Xenopus tropicalis: one gene and its partners. The protein of the gene in region 2 interacts with the protein of the main gene of each other region in a pairwise test. Links are inferred from orthologs where the notes say so. Each region holds a gene or a part of one and is shown on either strand. Other genes may lie near its edges.

The links. The genes of interacting proteins can lie anywhere in the genome.
Region 1: the proteins of hsd17b14 (region 2) and mpg interact in binary tests that used the Homo sapiens proteins (3 or more experiments, as listed by UniProt). The two-hybrid records come from large-scale screens. The link is inferred for Xenopus tropicalis from reciprocal best matches to the Homo sapiens genes HSD17B14 and MPG.
Region 3: the proteins of hsd17b14 (region 2) and cdkn2d interact in binary tests that used the Homo sapiens proteins (3 or more experiments, as listed by UniProt). The two-hybrid records come from large-scale screens. The link is inferred for Xenopus tropicalis from reciprocal best matches to the Homo sapiens genes HSD17B14 and CDKN2D.
Region 4: the proteins of hsd17b14 (region 2) and ca8 interact in binary tests that used the Homo sapiens proteins (3 or more experiments, as listed by UniProt). The two-hybrid records come from large-scale screens. The link is inferred for Xenopus tropicalis from reciprocal best matches to the Homo sapiens genes HSD17B14 and CA8.

The regions. Positions count from the first base shown.
Region 1 is NC_030685.2:40,629,314-40,634,797, forward strand, and holds the start of mpg (DNA-3-methyladenine glycosylase), read right to left. Parts: upstream 3,642-5,484; 5' UTR 3,612-3,641; intron 3,476-3,611; 5' UTR 3,282-3,475; coding exon 3,258-3,281; exon of another isoform or gene 3,209-3,257; intron 2,339-3,208; coding exon 2,129-2,338; intron 1-2,128. UniProt on the Homo sapiens protein: Hydrolysis of the deoxyribose N-glycosidic bond to excise 3-methyladenine, and 7-methylguanine from the damaged DNA polymer formed by alkylation lesions.
Region 2 is NC_030683.2:114,406,471-114,410,541, reverse strand, and holds the start of hsd17b14 (17-beta-hydroxysteroid dehydrogenase 14), read left to right. Parts: upstream 1-1,271; 5' UTR 1,272-1,358; coding exon 1,359-1,461; intron 1,462-3,887; coding exon 3,888-3,923; intron 3,924-4,071. UniProt on the Homo sapiens protein: Catalyzes the NAD(+)-dependent oxidation of L-fucose, yielding L-fucono-1,5-lactone, which rapidly converts spontaneously to L-fucone-1,4-lactone. Can also act on D-arabinose and L-galactose, with lower catalytic efficiency. Does not use NADPH.
Region 3 is NC_030679.2:138,208,976-138,214,583, reverse strand, and holds the start of cdkn2d (cyclin-dependent kinase 4 inhibitor D), read left to right. Parts: upstream 1-1,967; 5' UTR 1,968-2,195; intron 2,196-5,608. UniProt on the Homo sapiens protein: Interacts strongly with CDK4 and CDK6 and inhibits them.
Region 4 is NC_030682.2:116,895,017-116,900,559, forward strand, and holds the start of ca8 (carbonic anhydrase-related protein), read right to left. Parts: upstream 3,642-5,543; 5' UTR 3,624-3,641; coding exon 3,548-3,623; intron 1-3,547. UniProt on the Homo sapiens protein: Does not have a carbonic anhydrase catalytic activity.

The DNA.
Region 1 (5,484 bases), on a different chromosome or scaffold from region 2:
TTCCTAAATTTAGTGGTTTTATGACATTTCAGAAAATCGCATAAAAATGTTGCAGTTTGCAGCACAATTTCTTGCATGCAATGGCAAATCACCCCGGTGCAGAGAGAATTGCATTAGCACCAAAAAACGTAGGTACTACATTGTTGGCAGATAACTGCTTTTTTAAAACAACGTAGTACCTACGTTTTTGGCAGGGAAAAGGTTAATGGTACATTCTCTACTTGGAGTAAGGTTCTCAGTGGGGTCCCTCAGGGTTCTGTACTGGGTCTACTTTTGTTTAACTTGTTTATAAATGACTTAGGGGAGGGTATTATAAGCTATGTAGCAGTGTTTGCAGATGACACAAAACTCTGCAGACCAGTCAATTCTATCCAGGATGTGGCATTCTTGCAGCAGGATCTCCAACTGGCAATCTGGGCGGCTAAGTGGTAGACGAAATTTAATGTGGATAAATGTAAGGTCATGCACCTGGGATGTAAAAATATGCAAGCCACTTATACCCTTGACTTATGAACTTGGCTGTAGCAAACGCCAGGCAGCAGCTGCAAGGGCAAACGAGGTTTTGAGCTGTATTAAAAGGGGTATAGATTCACGGGAGGAGGGGGTTATTCTTCCCATTTACAGAGCGCAGGTAAAGCCCCATCTAGAATATGCTATTCAGTTTTGGTCTCCAGTGCTCAAACGGGACATGATTGAGTTAGAGAGGGTCCAGAGAAGGGCAACTATGCTGGTAAAGGGTATGGAAGGTCTCGGTTATGAAGAAAGACTGGCCAAGTTGTTTACACTGGAGAAGAGGCGCTTAAGAGGTGACATGATAACTATGTATAAATATATAAGGGGATCATATAATAACCTCTCTAATGGTTTATTTACCAGTAGGTCCTTCCAATGGACACAAGGGCACCCACTACGTTTAGAAGAAGGGAGGTTCCATTTAAATATTCGGAAAGGTTTTTTTACTGGGAGAGCTGTGAAGTTGTGGAATTCCCTCCCCGAATCAGTTGTATTGGCTGATACATTATACAACTTTAGGAAGGGCTGGATAGCTTCTTAGCAAGTGAGGGAATACAGGGTTATGGGAGATAGCTCTTAGTACAAGTTGATCCAGGGACTGGTCCGATTGCCATCTTGGAGTCAGGAAGGAATTTTTTCCCCTCTGCGGCAAATTAGAGAGGCTTTAGATGGGGTTTTTTGCCTTCCTCTGGATCAACTAGAAGTTAGGCAGGTTATATATAGGCATTATGGTAGAACATGATGGACGTACGTCTTTTTTCAACCTAACTTACTATGTTACTATGTAATTCCTGCCATAAAGGAAATTATTTCTGTTCTAAAATTATTGTACTTTATACAATACTATGCATTCCTTTTTTAACTAAAGTAAACAACAGTATTCCTTAAAGGAGACATTTTATATAAAGTTCATATTCAGTTATAATATTCATCCTCCCTCCCCTTCCTATCCTCCTCAGTGTGAAATGATGCAGAAAGAAAGATGTTTTGAAAGCATTTTACCTCCTAAAACTGCCATTATGAGAGCTGCATACACAAGCTCTCCAGTCGGAAGCCAGAGCCAAATGAGACATGGGAGTGTCCTTCAGTCTCCCACAGGAAGTGGTCACAGCACTGACTGACAGGCTTTACTCAACAGCAGCAGGGAAAACCCCTCCCTCCTTCTGTGTCTCTCTGCTTGTGTTGCTGCGGGGGGGGGGGGGGGAGAAGCGAGTAGAGCAGGAACGGACTGTCTGTGAGCTTGCTAAGCCCCGCCCACTCTATGAATATTCATTTCACTTTAAGTAGGTGAGGTGGTGTCATTGAAGTCTATCTGGGCCGGCGGCTCTGAGCCATATACTGAAGAGTCTAAACCGGAAGCTGGCATAAGGTCTGGGTAGAGCACAGTTTTCAAGCAGTTATGGACATATTTGAACCCAAAGGTATTAAAATAAAAGCACTTCCTTCTATTTTACATTGTTTAGTGCATTGTAAAAATTTATGGTATATATCCCCCTTTAAATCAATACATGAGCGTACAGGCATTTGTCTATATTTTAACTAAATATAAATCTGTTATCACACAAAATCATGCATATATCTATATATATTTAGCACTTCTGTCTCATTATATTACCTGTCCCAGAAAGGATTTGGCCAGTTCAGTACACGGTTGATTATAAAACTCAGAGAGAAGATGAATCCCAGGATTTTGGAAATATTTGCTGATCTTTGGCTTCTGCTCTTCACTGTATGAAGAAGTTTCATGCTTTTCTGTGCTTTCATGCAAGATCATTTTACAGGGGGCATTATTTAATATTTGTACTCGCTGACGTTTTCTAGGCATCTGTTAAACAAAATGAGACCTTGCTAAAATCACTTGGTGATACCTTATGCCACATACCTCCTCCGCCTGGAATGCACTGTAATGCATAAAAATTGTTCAATACAAAGTAAGCAACACTCATGGGAATAGTTCAACATACATTTTTAAATGCTGCTTTGAATTATGCAAAAAACTCTTTTAGGTGGAGGGCCCCTTTAATTTTAACATTTTACACATCTCTCCCTCAAATCACCCGCCTACTCTCACTCTGCTTCACACTTCTTTTAACACGTGGTGGCCATACATGTAGCAATTTCGATCGTTCCCACCCTCCACGGACGTTCAGGACTGAATCCGTCAGATATGGAGGGAGAAACAACAGACCTTTCAACATTCTACCTCCTTCTGCCGATTCAGCCCTGAACGTAGATTTTGCTCAGGCACCTGCAATGGCACCCGATCAAAATCTTTTAACTTGGCTGATCGCTGAGTCGACCGATATCCGCAGCCTTTTGCGATATCGGTCACCTCGTTGAGCCCCCATACACATACCGCATATCCTACGAAACTTGTATGTATGGCCAGCTTTAAACTGTGTATTTTCCCACCTCCTTCTGCTCTATTATGTATTTATTTTCTGTTTTTTACTGCTTTAGTAGCATAACTACCATAAATCACCCAGGTTTTCCTGGGCAGTTGAAGGGTACCAATATCTCACCATAAACCTGTGTTTTTCTCCGTATCATTTCTCTTGTCTCGTGTCAACTTTTGTACTGCTCTTGTGCCAATATTTATTTTTTTTACCAAAGTGCTATTCTCTGCATGATCTCACATGTGCTCCTGTCTATTTCCCCAACCTTCTCCCATTTTGTATTCTGATTTCTATCTCACCTCTCCGCCTCTATAGATTTCATTGTATGTATTTACACAGTTTCCATACCCTCTGTAATGCTACAGTTGTCATTCTCACTTGTCAGTTCACAGGCCTTCCTTCTTCCTGCGCCAAAACGGAACGCCGCTGTAGCGCTTGTTAGGCCCGCCCTTTTGCAACTCCGTGTTGCAGCTCCACCCCTTCAGCCTTGTACCAGCAGGCAAATAGCAGAAGGCGGCAGAGTTGGCAGTTGTGTGAAAAGTTCAGATTGGTCGAACAGCAATAGGCTGGAAAATTAAACCAGAGAAGAGGGTAGAGTAAAGTGTTGTCAAAGATGGGAACAGCGGTGTTCGGCTCTATTATGAAAACTAACAGCACGCATTGAAGGCAGCATTTAATGAAGTTGGGAATACGGGCACCTACCGTCAGTCCTTTCAATTTCGTGCATTACCGTTTCCTGTATTGCGCATGCCTCGAATTCGCGCAGGAATTTTTGGTTTAAAAAGCTTGGCTGTTTTCTAACCATCAAGGATGGTTGTTGTGCGAATTCAACTCGATTTTATATACAAGGATACCAATATTATTAAAAATATTTGTTGAAATCAATATTTTAGCAGTTTTTGAACAACGTTTTACTTACACATTAAGCACGTTATTCGCTTTGACATATGATCAGTGGGCTCCCACTGATAATGTACATATTACACAGGAGAATGGTCATATCTATTGTGGTCAAGCAATGTCCACCAATATTTGACACACACAGTACTGGGCATCATGGCTTATAAGCATCCCCTTATTGTTTGATACTGAAAAATAGCAATTTGAACTAGAAAAGGAAGCTTGAGAACAAACTTCATGTTGTTTTGAAAAACATGTGAAGTCACTGAATGAAATCTGATTGGCTGTTGTTGGCTTCACCCAGTTTTTCTAACCTTGGACCACAGTCATATAGTAAAAAACACTGTGCAAAGTTTGGGGACCCTAGTTTTAATAGTGCAAGAATGGCAGCAATATCAATTTTTCCACTGAAAGTCAATGAGTGACAACAGATAGGCATCACCCACCGTGGCATAAATACATGGCCAAAATTGTTGGCACCCCAGAAATTTTTGCAGAAAATCAAGTATTTCTCATAGAAAAGTATTGCAGTAACACATATTTTGCTATACACATGTTTATTCCCTTTGTGTGTATTGGAACAGAACAAAAAAGGGAAGAAAAAAGGCAAATTGGACATAATGTCACATGACTGTAGTGTTAGAATGACAGCATTTTAATATAAACCAATGAAATTCAATGGATGACATCTGATTTGCTGTTGGTTGCCCTGCCCACTTTTTCTATTTTTGAACTGCAGTCACTAAGTGACTAACTGTCCAAAGTTTGGGGACCCTGACGTAAAAATTGTGGCACTGACAGCATTTTACATTTTGCCATTGAAAGTCAATAGTTATTGGCTGTTGGTGGCTCAGTCTAATACCCAGTGACTAACTTTGCAAATTTCAACAACCTTGGAATTAATGCTTAAATAATGGCATCAGTTTAAATATAAACCAGTGAAAGTCAATGTGAGCTCTAATTTGGCTGTTGGTGGCTTCGCCCAGTTTTGCTAACCTTTAACCTTAGTTCCCCAGTGAACGTATGAGAATGGCAGCAGTTTAAATTTTGAAACCAGTGAAAGAAATGTAATTGACTTTTTCTAACCTTAAAGGAGAATGCAAGTCAAAATTTAAAAAGCATACTGCCCAATAGTCCTCCTATTGTTTAGTAAAAACGCAACACTTTTGGCTCACCTAATCAAATATTTACTCAGTCACACTTACTTCACATTTTCTAGAACAGGCAGCCATCTCTAAAAAGGTATTCTCCCTTCCTTTCCCTCCTTGCTTCATACTGCACATGTGTTTCATTCCCTCCCCCCCTGCCAGATCCGCTTCTGATTGGCTGGTGGGCATGTGTAGCTCAGAACAGCAGACAGGATCAAGTTACACATATGCTCAGAGAATAGGAAGGCTGCCGCTGGCACCTACAGGAAGGGGAGAGAGATTTCAGTGATGTCACTGTAGTCTTCACACTGCTGTAGGCTGCCAGCACCATATCTCAGAGAAGCAAGCAGGGATCTGGGAATTTAGATGTGCAGTAAGTACTTAAAAAGAATGGCCTTTAGACTTACTTTTAATTTATATTAACCTTTCATTGTCCTTTAAATTTGTAACAACCCAGTGACTGACTGTTTGAAGTTTGAGAACCCTGGCTTAAATAGTGTGAGTGGGAGTGTTTTAATTAAAAAAAC
Region 2 (4,071 bases):
TGCCCCTTTCTATTACACCCAGTACATTCTTTGGATCTGCTCATTGTGCCCTAAACACTCCTCATTTTAGTTCTTCCCATAATTGTAAGATATTTATTAACATATTGGTGTTAGAAAATAGTACCAGGTTTGGTTATAATGATTCCCTTTTCTCTGTAATAATAAAACAGTACCTGTACTTGATCCCAATTAAGATATAATTACCCCTTATTGGGGGCAGAACAGCCCTATTGGGTTTATTTAATGGTTAAATGATTCCCTTTTCTCTGTAATAATAAAACAGTACCTGTACTTGATCCCAACTAAGATATAATTACCCCTTATTGGGGGCAGAACAGCCCTATTGGGTTTATTTAATGGTTAAATGATTCCCTTTTCTCTGTAATAATAAAACAGTACCTGTACTTGATCCCAACTAAGATATAATTACCCCTTATTGGGGGCAGAACAGCCCTATTGGGTTTATTTAATGGTTAAATGATTCCCTTTTCTCTGTAATAATAAAACAGTACCTGTATTTGATCCCAACTAAGATATAATTACCCCTTATTGGGGGCAGAACAGCCCTATTGGGTTTATTTAATGGTTAAATGATTCCCTTTTCTCTGTAATAATAAAACAGTACCTGTACTTGATCCCAACGAAGATATAATTACCCCTTATTGGGGGCAGAACAGTCCTATTGGGTTTATTTCATGTTTAAATGATTTTTATTAGGTTTAAGGTATGGAGATCCAAATTACAAAAAGACCCTTTATTTGGAAAACCTCAGGTGTGAAGCATTCTGGATAACAGGTCCCATACCTGTACTTTAGTGGATAAGGACAATGGCATGCCAAGATGATTTACCAAGCAACTTTTGCTTTGAGTGCTTTATAATGGCAAAAAATAGGAAAATTTTTATTTTTGTTAATTAAAACAATAGAATGTAATTTTAGCATAAGTCCTATTTGATGTGCTAATATTTAGCAAATATGTTTTTAGGGATATACTGTCCCTTTAATTCAATATCTCAAATGTAAAATATTCCCTGTTCCTGTATCCAACCATTCGGGTACATTCATTATATAGTAATAAATGCTTTATTAGCCTGTCTTTGCTTGTTAATCGATTAGCAGGTAATTCTCAGGCTGCACAGATACACACCCTGCCGGAGCAGATTTCTTCCTCTCCATACAAAACAATGGGATTCCACATAACTCTTAACACTGGCTTCTCAGGACTACGCCCCCCATAATTCCCTGGGCCTGGAGCTCAGCCAACTTATTTCCTGTTAGATCAGCTGCTCAGAGCGTGACTGAAGTTCTGCTCCCTGCAGCTCTGGGCACTGCTACTGGGTTCCTCGCAGGAGAAGCACCATGGCTGCCAGTGGGGCAGAGCTGAGTCTGCGGTACCGTGACAGGGTGGCAGTCATAACGGGGGGCACCAAGGGCATCGGAGAAGCAATGGTCAAGGAGTTTGGTAAGGATTCAGTTTGCTGCTAAAGTTTATAACTAAATCCCAATGTATCTGCCTTTTATTTATTATTGTGTATATGGGCAGTGGCATAAAGCAGCCCTGGGCACTGGGGTACCTGCATTCTTCTACTAGGGATGCCCCCAATCCTCTTTTTAGGGTCTGGCTGAACCCCGAATCCTTTGCAAAAGATTCAGCCGAATACCAAGCAAAGTAAAGGTTAAAGAGAAACTTCCATATTTACGTGACAAAACGTCATGGATTCAGATTTGGTTTGGCCAAAGGCATGGATTCGCCCAAATCCTGCTGAAAAAGACTAAATCTTGGCCGAATCCTGGATTTGGTGCATCCCTATTTAGCGCCAGTACCACACTTTTCTACTGGTTTAGTGCAGCGCCTCAATGCATTTATAACTAGAGTGGAGCCAAATGAGTAAGGCAATGGTTCTGAATCCAGTGCTCAAAGCTCAAAAATGGGTCTCTGTGCTTATAGGGGATTGTTACCATGACCCCTTCACATAAAGTGGCACTTTGCCACTTTACAACTGAGGTTTATGAAGAATTGTGGATAATGTATTTATATATACTGTATATATATATATATATATATATATATATATATATATATATATATATATATATATATATATATATATATGCTATGAACTGGCATTCAACAAATGCCCAATGTCCAAGTGGAACTAAAGTGCTAAGAAGCCAATGCAGCACAATTATAGTGATACTAAAAATGGATTGTGTTGAGAATCATTAAGGATTTCCACCAACTTTGTGGATGTGCCCATTGTTGCTCTAAAAGGATATGGAGCTAGCCTTAATTTCAGTATTTCAGCCAAGATGGTTTAACCCTGTCTCCTGTATTTATAACTAAGTCTATGATTAGTCTTGTTGGATGAAGCTTGCTGTTGCTGTCATCCTAGCGCTATAGGCCAATTAAAAACGAATCTAAAAATTAGAATCCAGATGTTGTTGTATTGATGCATTTTCAGCCAATATCCACAACTGAGTTCTGCCCTATGGAGTTTTATTACTACTTTTCTGTTAGATTTTGAGGGTCGGCAGGTTAATCACACCAACAAAGCTTGAGGTGGGAAGCAAGGGTAATGGCCCTCAACCCTGCACATTGTAGGGCCAGAGCAGCAGCTGTAGGTAAAAAGAACGGGGAGCAGAAGGAAGAGATGCAGACAGTTGCACTTTATATTAGCATTGCCCAATATATGCCCCTTGGGCTCTTTTCGAGGTATAACTGGCACCCACCTTATTGGGACTTATAATTCAATGACAGTCAAACAGTCACTATTGTATACATAGTGGGGCCCAGCAACATCTGTACATTGCCCTGGATGTGTTATTTGTTTGGCTTGACTTGGCAGAAGGACAAGTTACACATACATTTTGTTTGGTTGGGTTGTTCTGTTCAGCTCAAAGTCCAGAGGGCAGGATTTCTCCTGTTATTACTGTGGGGATGGGTTGTGTAGGCTCGACCCCCTCTCTGGCGCTCTGTCGTGTAGAATGTACTATACCCTTTATAATGACCCACGCAATACGGAGGTTATCAGCTTGCTTTGGGCTTTTCATATCTTCTTTACTTCGTTGACTATGGGGCTCATTCATCCAGACCCCCTAGTCTTTGGGAAGTAACTAAGTACCCACTATAGGGGGGGCATTACTGCTAGGTGTGGGTAATAAGGGACAGGTGACTGATTATTCTTTCTAGGAAATAGAAGAAAAGCTTTCTGGTTCGTCACACCAAGCCTGTTCTAATTGCAGTGCAAAGAAAGAGGGAGTCATAGTTTCTAGGTGCTAGAAGGACACAATTTGGGCCTCTCCTACCCTAAGGCTCCTGATCTCAGGCTAAACCAGTCGCCAAACATTGCAGCGTGCATCCACATGGCACTAATAGCAGCTTTAGGCCAGTGATCCCCAACCAGTGGCTCGGGGGCAACATGTTGCTGCCCAACCCCTTGGATGTTGCTCTCAGTGCCCCCAAACCAGGGAGTTATTTTTGAATTCCTGACTTGGGGGCAAGTTTTGGTTGAATAAAAACAAGATTTCCTACCAAATAAAGCCCCTGTAAGCTGATAGTGTGCATAGAGGCTGCCTAATAGCCAATCTTAGCCATTATTTGGCTCCTCCATGAACTTTTATGGTGCCTGTGTTGCTCTCCAAGTCTTTTTACATTTGACTGTGGCTCACGGGAAAGAAAGGTTGTGGGCCCTGCTTTAGGAGAAGTCCCCACTGTGGAGACAAAAGGCTCTCTCAAGCCCAAAATCCAATCCTGCTGCATGTATGTGTTACTATGGATCCTCAGTGTGTTACAATACAGCAGCAGCCATTTACCATAGATACTGCATGTATGTGCCTGTAGCACTGACTCTTTTCTCTCTTTTGTGCCCCTTCTGTTCGTATCTGCAGTAAAGAGTGGCGCCAGGGTGGTCTTCTGCTCGAAAGGTAAGGAACTCTTCATAGGAATCTCCCACGTCTTGGGGAAATGTGTCTTTTTCACACACACACACACACACACCAGACCAGTCTCCTATATCCCTGCCCCCCCTCAGCGAGCAACTGCTGGGTCTGCTTTCTCTGCTCCTACACCCTA
Region 3 (5,608 bases), on a different chromosome or scaffold from region 2:
GGCCGGCAGGGACACCCCCAGTCTGACCCTGATAAAGAATAACAAATGGGAGGATGTTCGGAACATGAATTAGTTGGCAGACACCGACCGTACGAAAATGACTCCCATTAATGGCCCCCAAGGATATAATCAGATACACACGGAGATTTTATCCTTATCAGATGGGAATTCTATAACCTGCGGTATCAGCTAAACGAGCGATCGGCCATTCAGAGCCCACACACCGGCCCAAGTTTCATGCAACTTTATCAGTAGGTGTATGGGCAGCTTTAGATTGAGGGCAATGGGGCCAAACGTACTGTTTAACAGCAGCTCCCAGTATCCCTGATGCCCTTGCGCTATACATGGGAGAGGAGACTAGGTTACTAACATAAAGCATCTCTGCCTCCATCTTGCCCTGTTGGCTGTGTCTGCGCTGAGGGAGCTGCCATGTAGTATTCCCTGTATACACACACACCACACACACACACACACACACACACACACACACACACTCACACTCACACTCACACACACACTCACACACACACTCACACACACACTCACACACACACTCACACACACACTCACACACACACTCACACACACACTCACACACACTGACACTCACACACACTGACACTCACACACACTGACACTCACACACACTGACACTCACACACACTGACACTCACACACACTGACACTCACACACACTGACACTCACACACACTGACACTCACACACACTGACACTCACACACACTGACACTCACACACACTGACACTCACACACACTGACACTCACACACACTGACACTCACACACACTGACACTCACACACACTGACACTCACACACACTGACACTCACACACACTGACACTCACACACACTGACACTCACACACACTGACACTCACACACACTGACACTCACACACACTGACACTCACACACACTGACACTCACACACACTGACACTCACACTGACACTCACACACACTGACACTCACACACACTGACACTCACAACACACTGACACTCACACACACTGACACTCACACACCACTGACACTCACACACACTGACACTCACACACACTGACACTCACACACACTGACACTCACACACACTGACACACTCACACACACTGACACACTCACACACACTGACACTCACACACACTGACACACTCACACTGACACACTCACACACACTGACACACTCACACACACTGACACTCACACACACTGACACACTCACACTGACACACTCACACACACTGACACACTCACACACACTGACACTCACACACACTGACACACTCACACTGACACACTCACACTGACACACTCACACACACTGACACACTCACACACACTGACACTCACACACACTGACACTCACACACACTGACACTCACACACACTGACACTCACACACACTGACACTCACACACACTGACACTCACACACACTGACACACTCACACTGACACACTCACACTGACACACTCACACTGACACACTCACACACTGACACACTCACACACTGACACACTCACACACTGACACACTCACACTCACACACTGACACACTCACACTGACACACTCACACTGACACACTCACACTGACACACTCACACTGACACACTCACACTGACACTCACCCCATGGGACGGTACAGGCTGCCTATAGGAAGCAGAGGCTGCATTTAAACACAAACAGCACGTCCCGCCGGAGGTGAAGCTAAGGTTACCGTACTGCTGACTCCAGCCTGACCCCCTCACCTCACACACAGAACCGCTAGTAGCCCCGCCCCTCCTTTTTAAAATTTCTCTCAAGACCCACCCATTCCTCTCTTTTTTTTTCTATTGGTTGCATACTCTGCGTCAGTCTGCGGGTTACCGCCTAGCAACGGCGAGCCCCTCTGGCAGCTGTCATTTCTATTGGCTGGAATGGCCAAGGAGGCGGGGCCTCGGCGTCCGGCAAAACCAATGGGCACAAAGAGACGACGGCACAACAGTTGCCTTTTTTAAAAAAAATAACACGCGTACCACGTGGGGCGGTGACGTCAGAGGCCGAAAACAAGCGACAGGCTGCGATCCGCCGCGACTCGGACTGCGCCCGTTGAAGGTTCTGACTGCGCGTCTCTCACCTGCCGGGCAGCGGGTCACGTGTTCAGCACCTGTGTCAGCGCGGGAAGGCGGGTATATAAGGTGGGTAAGGTGGGGGCTCTGTGTGTGGCAGGGGGAGCCGGCTGGGGAGCAGCAACATCATCTGTCACCGGCTGCAACAGTAACGGAAGCCGCTCTGTGTGTGTCTGGGGAACGTTCCCCTGACTGGCACCGAACTGGCGCGGCCCTCCTTCTCCGTGTTGTGACTGCCATTGACTTCTATCACTTTGTATTCTCCCTCCCCCCGACCCCTCCCTGTATCCCCCCGACCCTCCCTGTATCCCCCCGACCCCTCCCTGTATCCCCCTGTCCCCTCCCTGTATCCCCCTGTCCCCGACCCCTCCCTGTATCCCCCTGTCCCCTCCCTGTATCCCCCTGTCCCCGACCCCTCCCTGTATCCCCCTGTCCCCTCCCTGTATCCCCCCGACCCCTCCCTGTATCCCCCGACCCCTCCCTGTATCCCCCCGACCCCTCCCTGTATCCCCCTGTCCCCGACCCCTCCTGTATCCCCCCGTCCCCTCCCTGTATCCCCCCGTCCCCTCCCTGTATCCCCCCGTCCCCTCCCTGTATCCCCCCGTCCCCTCCCTGTATCCCCCTGTCCCCTCCCTGTATCCCCCTGTCACCAACCCCTCCCTGTATCCCCCTGTCCCCTCCCTGTATCCCCTGTCACCAACCCCTCCCTGTATCCCCTGTCACCAACCCCTCCCTGTATCCCCCTGTCCCCTCCCTGTATCCCCCTGTCCCCTCCCTGTATCCCCCTGTCACCAACCCCTCCCTGTATCCCCCCGTCCCCTCCCTGTATCCCCCCGTCCCCTCCCTGTATCCCCCCGTCCCCTCCCTGTATCCCCCTGTCCCCTCCCTGTATCCCCCTGTCACCAACCCCTCCCTGTATCCCCCTGTCCCCTCCCTGTATCCCCCTGTCCCCTCCCTGTATCCCCCTGTCCCCTCCCTGGATCCCCCTGTCACCAACCCCTCCCTGTATCCCCCCGACCCCTCCCTGTATCCCCTGTCCCCTCCCTGTATCCCCCTGTCCCCGACCCCTCCCTGTAATCCCCCCGACCCCTCCCTGTATCCCCTGTCCCCTCCCTGTATCCCCCTGTCACCAACCCCTCCCTGTATCCCCTGTCCCCTCCCTGTATCCCCCTGTCACCAACCCCTCCCTGTAATCCCCTGTCCCCTCCCTGTATCCCCCGACCCCTCCCTGTATCCCCCCGACCCCTCCCTGTATCCCCCGTCCCCCCTGTCCCCTGTCCCCTCCCTGTATCCCCCCTGTCCCCTCCCTGTATCCCCCCTGTCCCCTCCCTGTATCCCCCTGTCACCCAACCCCCTCCCTGTATCCCCCTGTCCCCTCCCTGTATCCCCCTGTCCCCTCCCTGTATCCCCCTGTCACCAACCCCTCCCTGTATCCCCCTGTCCCCTCCCTGTATCCCCCTGTCACCAACCCCTCCCTGTATCCCCCTGTCCCCTCCCTGTATCCCCCTGTCCCCGACCCCTCCCTGTATCCCCCTGTCCCCGACCCCTCCCTGTATCCCCCTGTCCCCTCCCTGTATCCCCCTGTCCCCTCCCTGTATCCCCCTGTCACCGACCCCTCCCTGTATCCCCCTGTCACCGACCCCTCCCTGTATCCCCCTGTCACCGACCCCTCCCTGTATCCCCTGTCCCCTCCCTGTATCCCCCTGTCCCCGACCCCTCCCTGTATCCCCCTGTCCCTCCTTGTATCCCCCTGTCACCGACCCCTCCCTGTATCCCCCTGTCACCGACCCCTCCCTGTATCCCCCTGTCACTGACCCCTCCCTGTATCCCCTGTCACTCACATCTTATTCTGTGTCACTGTGCCCCCCCGTCTGTGACATCTTATTCTGTGTCCCTTTCACTAAATCCCCATCACAGAAATCCTACTGTATCCTATCACTGATATCTCATTGTATTTCTTCTCTCTGACATCCCCCTGTACCTGCCCCGTTACTGACATCCCCCGCCTCTACCTGCCCCGTTACTGACATCCCCCTGTACCTGCCCCGTTACTGACATCCCCCTGTACCTGCCCCGTTACTGACATCCCCCGCCTCTACCTGCCCCGTTACTGACATCCCCCTCTACCTGCCCCGTTACTGACATCCCCCTCTACCTGCCCCGTTACTGACATCCCCCTCTACCTGCCCCGTTACTGACATCCCCCTCTACCTGCCCCGTTACTGACATCCCCCTCTACCTGCCCCGTTACTGACATCCCCCTCTACCTGCCCCGTTACTGACATCCCCCTCTACCTGCCCCGTTACTGACACCCCCCTGTATTCTCCTGCCACCCACACCCCACTGCCTCTCCCTGTCACTTACATGTCCCACTGTATGTACCTGTCACAGGATATTGAGAGTAGCCAGTGGTATGAAAAAAGCTGTGTGGCATCTCAGTTACCAAAACTTGGCCCTAGTTCCGCTTTAGTGATTATTCCTGGCGACACTCTCTGTAACCCTGCTGATTTGGCACAGTGTCCCGGGGGAACCTTCACTCTCTGCTTTCCCTCTGTGATTATATTATTCCCATCTCACAGCCCGTCACTGTTTCCTTCCTGCGTGCCTGTATCCTATCCAGGCCTTGGTCTGTGGGTTCAAGCAAATGCCAGAGGGGCTGCTGTAAGGTGCCATAGACACTCACTATTTATTGGGCCTATGGGGGGCTGTTTGGGCCTCTGTGTACTGAAAATCAGGCCCGGACTGGCAATCTGTGGGTTCAGGCAAATGCCAGAGGGGCTGCTGTAAGGTGCCATAGACAGTCACTATTTATTGGGCCTATGGGGGGGCTGTTTGGGCCTCTGGGTACTGAAAATCAGGCCCGGACTGGCAATCTGTGGGTTCTGGCAAATGCCTGAGGGGCTGCTGTAAGGTGCCATAGACACTCACTATTTATTGGGCCTATGGGGGGGCTGTTTGGGCCTCTGTGTACTGAAAATCAGGCCCGGACTGGAAATCTGTGGGTTCAGGCAAATGCCAGAGGGGCTGCTGTAAGATGCCATAGACACTCACTATTTATTGGGCTGCTGGGGGGGCTGTTTGGGCCTCTGTGTACTGAAAATCAGGCCCGGACTGGCAATCTGTGGGTTCAGGCAAATGCCAGAGGGGCTGCTGTAAGGTGCCATAGACACACACTATTTATTGGGCCTATGGGGGGGCTGTTTGGGCCTCTGTGTACTGAAAATCAGGCCCGGACTGGCAATCTGTGGGTTCAGGCAAATGCCAGAGGGGCTGCTGTAAGACTACTGGAACCTAAATGGCTCCCAGACTCCTACCTTTAACCCTTTCAGCCGTCCGTTCCTCTTCTTGAATTCTCTTGCTCTGACTTAAGAAAGAACCCACCTTTCCACACATTAATGTTGTATCATGGCTCCTCATTAGCCAAAGGATCTCACTACCTCTCTCCACTTGTACCTCCTTATGCTGCCATGCTGATATTCTA
Region 4 (5,543 bases), on a different chromosome or scaffold from region 2:
GCATTAGTCCTAGGGTGGAAGTAAGTTATTTAGGCTAAATAAGCAATGTATAGTCATGTCATGGACTGTCACCTTAATTGCATTTTTGAAAATGTACCATGTATGGCCTCTTCCATACACAGATGTCTGAAATATATCCTTATGCCAACAGCTCCAGTGCTTGATTCTGCCTATAGGACTTGGCCATTTGTGAGCCCATCAGAACTATCACAGGAAATAATTAGCAGGACCCATGACATCTTGGACTGCAGCAAAGAACATTATTACCTTTCTTTTTAAATTATTATATTTGGCTTTCTATTGCTTTTTCATGATTTTATTCCCACCATAAAGATATAAATCTAAAGTTAGTCAATCTTGCAACATCTTGTTTTAAATCCTGTATAATATTTGTTTGCAACTCTTCTTGGGAAAAGCCTTAGTAACAAAATGCCTTTTCACATTTTTATGTATTTAAAGCAGGTCAGTGTTACGGGGCACTCCATCCTCTCTTATCTGCCCTCAGCAGCACAATGGGCACTAGTTCATTGTCATAAATGGTGCTAAACTGCCCAGAATGCAAGGGGACAATTCTGCTTAGAATGAATCCCTTTTTTTTTTTTACAAAGTGCATTAGGTAATAGAGCTCCTATAGCAGAATCCTGCATTCAAATCTATTTTTCAAAAGAGCAAACAGATTTTTATTTTTGTTCAATTTTGAAATTTGACATGGGGCTAGCCATATTCTTCATTTCCCAGGGTGCCACAGCCATGTGACCTGTGCTCTGATAAACTTCAGTCACACTTTACTGCTGAGCTGCAAGTTGGAGTCATATTACCCCCTCCCAGCAGCCGATCAGCAGAACAATGGGAAGGTAAGAAGATAACAGCTTCCTGACATCTGCATTGCTTAAAATGCTCCCTTGCCCCACTTAGTTGTAGATATGAGAATAGCACAGTAACACCCCTAGTCCAGCCATGACTCCTCCAGTTACACTGAGTTGAAGAAACAATAGTTATTAGGCACAATGCACTGAGATGGCTGCCTACACACTAATATTACAACTAAAAAAATATATTTATTGGTTAAAAAATAAAATGTTAAATGGTAGAACATGCAGTGTATGCAACGTACACATGTGCAATGGTACTTGCAATGTATATGGTGTCATTTAGTGGTAACACCATACACAGTCACATATGGTAGCACATAGCTACACTAGTATTTATTGAAGTCAGTATTTAGGTCGTCTTTCATGTATTTAGGGGAAAGCTTGCCTGGTGCAGTCCACACTTGTGTACAAATGAACATCACTGTATATTGTTCTTTTTTTAATTAATGAAATGTTTTTTTGTTGATTTAGAAAAGAAGCAAGTGATAAAGAAACAGTGATTTCAGCTGCACCACCTTGTCATTAAGGGCTCTGGCACACGGGGGAGATTAGTCGCCCGCGACAAAACTCCCTGTTCGCGGGCGACTAATCTCCCCGAGTTGCCATGACCCGCCATCCCACCGGCGAACATGTAAGTCGCCGGCGGGATGGCACACGTGGCAGCGTGATTTCGGGAAATCGCGCTGCCGCGCCCTGCCAGAGCCCTTATGCCACTGGAACAATTTACTACTATTTTTCCTTGACGGGTGCAACAATTTTTTGATGCGTGCCTTTTTACATGTTTCACAGTTTTTTTGCCATTTCACTAATCTTTTCAAAGTTTTGCAAATTTTTCACCGAAGTGACATGGGACAGACTTGCTCATCACTATTTACTACTGTAGGGCTGCTGAAGCTCTTAGCTGCAACAGAAATTCTGTATATAAAATACAGCATGTGTAGCTTTATTTATGTAGTTATCCCTTTAAAAGAACTGGCTATAAACCCCTAGGCCCAGGTTGGCTGAGATGTACTGCCACCCTGTGAAATGAGTTTGCTAGAAGCAGATATATCTACTTGAGAGATAACATTAAGATGATCTCTCCACCTGTTTTGCTCTCCCCGCCAAGTCCACCCTGTAATCAGCCCTTATCAGAGACACAATAATAGGATTGCACTAATTAGTGGAACGGTATCTTTCTGGACAATCATCCAGTACATACTGGCTTTTAATCTTAGATTAACCATATTAAATTACCAGGATTTGGATTCACTACAACCTGCTTTGGTACGATTAGGGTGAAGACACTAATGCTGATCATTTACTGATAATTGTCTCTACGTGTGTTTTAGCAGAGGCAATTCTCAGTATTGTCTATGGCAGGGTATTTTCTGGAGTTTAGTAGCCATGACAAGTAGCTACTAAGTAGCTCTGTGTGTCTTCACCCTTACACACACAAGCAAAAGTGATTTTTAAAAAAAAAAACTTGCAAACAAAATATTTAAAAAGAGCATAGCAATACCAGCATTTGGGACTAAAAGCTAACTAAAAATAATACTGCATGGCCTCATTTGCAAAGACCCTACTCATTTAGTAAGCACTTGTGTTCAGGACTTCGCTTCACTTTGCACCCCATGCCAGTGTAGGGCAGGAGGTAAGGACAGAGCTCTCTTGCATCCTGCACCCACTGGCTACCTGAGTTCCAAAACTTGCATGTCTGGATGGCCTGTGTGCCCCACAGCCCACCCTTATGTATACAGTGATGTATCAGTGTCTAACTTTATTTATTAAGCACTTTAGCAAAGCCAAAAGCAGTCAGCGATGTATTTACTGAGGGAAGTGTAGGTTCTGTCACTACCTGTAAACCTGTAGCTATGGTGTAAAGTGGTGGGTGAGCAGGTGGGTGAAAGGGGCTACAGAGGAGCTGTGGGCTACACACACCCTAGTCTGACCCTGGTCTGTGCCCAATTTTATGCACATTATACCATGGAGGAAATGACTCCTTAAATCTCTTATAGTTATACTGATCATTTATATTCTATAAGACTCAAGCCTGCTTGATTTAAACCATGCCCTATTCTTGTTTGTTTGTATTTCTACATTCTCCCCCTTCAGCTTCTAAAGATGCTGTTGACACTGCTAGTATAGCTTATCATAGATTCTATATATATATATAATGTGACATAAAGTGTCAATATCACTTTAATGTTACACCATGCACTGTTATGTTATATGAGCTTACTCTCAGTAATGTGACAACAAAGTAGCCTGGAAATGAAGGGGGAGCTTATTTATATCCAGCAAACTTAGATGGCAGTTAGTCCCACTGGGAAGCCTAGATTGCTCTATACAGTGCCCAGACACAACTAGTGCTAAGTGCCTATATACACCAAACCTATGCACTGTATGAGCCCAACTGAAAGATGGAACAGCAGCTATGTGTTCATTGTATTTGCAGATAAAATAGTTCTAAACAAAAGTGTCAGTTTATATACGGGATGGAAAGTTAACTCGGGAAGAAGACAAATCTCCCAGGTGTTTATTACTGCTGAGGTTTAACCCATGTGGCAATCAGATAGCAGAGCCCCGGTATAACGCTTGGGAGCAAGTAGCGCCAGAGAGCGCAGCGTAGGGACTGGAGGGCTCCGATGCGCACACAGCGCCTGGGTTTAAATCGCTTAGCGAATCGCTCTTACCTTCTTCATAGCCCCATTCCTGGTTCTCTTTTTCCCCTTGTACAGCCTCGTCCTCTATATAGTGTTTGTCAGCCATGGGATCGCTGTGGCCTCCTCCTCCCCTCCTGCTGTATGGGATGTGCCAGGCCGGGCTAGCGCTCTCTCTACTTGTGCCCCAACTCAAGTGCCCGCCCTCCGCCCAGAGGCACCGGGACCTGTCTGAGCGCACAGCCCGGGGAGATGGGCAGGACTGGCAACAAGTGTAGGGATGGGATTTACTCTCAGCCCCTACTGACTATTAGAACCTCTACTATTACAGGGAAGCGCTGTCATTTTAAACGTTTCGGTCACAGGTGGTGAGTGACCAGAACGCTGGATACCAATAAAATACTGTTTTTGTACTAAAGAGCTGCAGAGTGCCGCCCTTCTGTACTTTTATAGACTTTGTTAGCACCAAGGCACCTGGACACAGAGTAGAGTGCTTCTCTTAGGATAATGTTTACATATAGCTGAAAAAAGTGTTATCTGCAATGCTATCCCAGATAAAGAACCGTTCCACAGTTTGTATCACCAGTCTGTTAAAAAGAATCAATAAACCCAATAAGATTGATTCCCCCCAATTAGGATTTATGCAGATTAATTGCCATCAAGTACAAGGTGTAAATTGTTTGTTTAATCTGGACTTTATGGGACATGGCCAAGGTGCAATTTTAAACATTCTGGATAGGGTTTCTGGATAAGGGATCCCTTAAGCAATGAAATATGTATAATACACTGGGGCAGCTGGGTGAATATACAGAAGGAGGATAAAATTACTGTTCTGAAATATCAGGGAGTCTCATACTTGTACCCAATCAGTCTGTTTTAATAACTGCACAGGTGTATGGTATGTGTGGTATGTGTAGCTAATGTTTAGCCAGGTGTCTTTATATTGTAAAATGCCTCAGCTGTATATCACATTTATTGAACATACTAAGGGGCCCATTTATCAAAGTACGCTTGAATCCGAATCCCAAAAATTCTAGTTGTTTTCGTACTGTGCGTATTTTCACCAATTCGTTAGACATTTTTGTACTGTGCATCAAAATTTATGCGACAAAATCATATTTGTTGCAACGAGTATGAAAGTTTCGGATTCATTCAAGCTTCGGTATTGTGATTTCCTTAGGCCAGGTTGGAGCTGCCATTGAGTCCTATGGGAGGCTTCCAAAAACATGCACAAAGTCAGAAAGGTTTTCCCGCCGTTTTCAATTATTCGGTTATGAAAATTTTGTGACTTTCGGATCGCCAATACGATATTATCGTGACTAATACGATTTTTGTGACATTTCCGATCATCAGAAATTATTGTATCTATTCCGAATTTTACCCATTTCGGGATTCAAACTCGTTCTTTGATGAATCAGCCCCTAAGTGTCTGCCCTCTGTTTGTGTTCATTGCAGAGTACATTGCACCAAAATAAGTGTTTTAAAGCAATTAAAATATAAAGTACTGTTGCCCTGCACTGGTACAACTGGTGTGTTTGCTACAAGGGGAACTTCTTTAGAGATGTATAAGGGGTACGAATGCAGCCCACCATGAGGCACTCAGCGAGAGGTTAGGACAATGATTCCCAACCAGTGGCTCAGGGATAATATGTTGCTCCCCATCCCCTTGGCTGTTGCTCCCAGTGGCCTCAAAGTAGGTGCTCACTTTTAAATTTCTGGTAAGGAGGCCAGCTTTGGTTGCATAAAAATCCAGTATAATGCCAAACAGAGCCTTCTGTTGGCTGCCAGTCCACAAAGGGGCTATTAAGTAGCCAATTAAAGCTCTTATTAGCACCCCCAGGAAACTTTTTCATGCTTGTGTTGCTCCCCAACACTTTTTCCATTTAAATGTGGCTCACAGGTATAAAAGGTTGGGGATCCCTGGGTTAGGAGAATGATAGTTGAGGTAAGTGCATGGCATGCATCTGGAGGGTGCAGTTAGGGGCGCCTGGAAGGTGGGGTGGGGTGTGGCCAGTCCAGAGGATGTTGG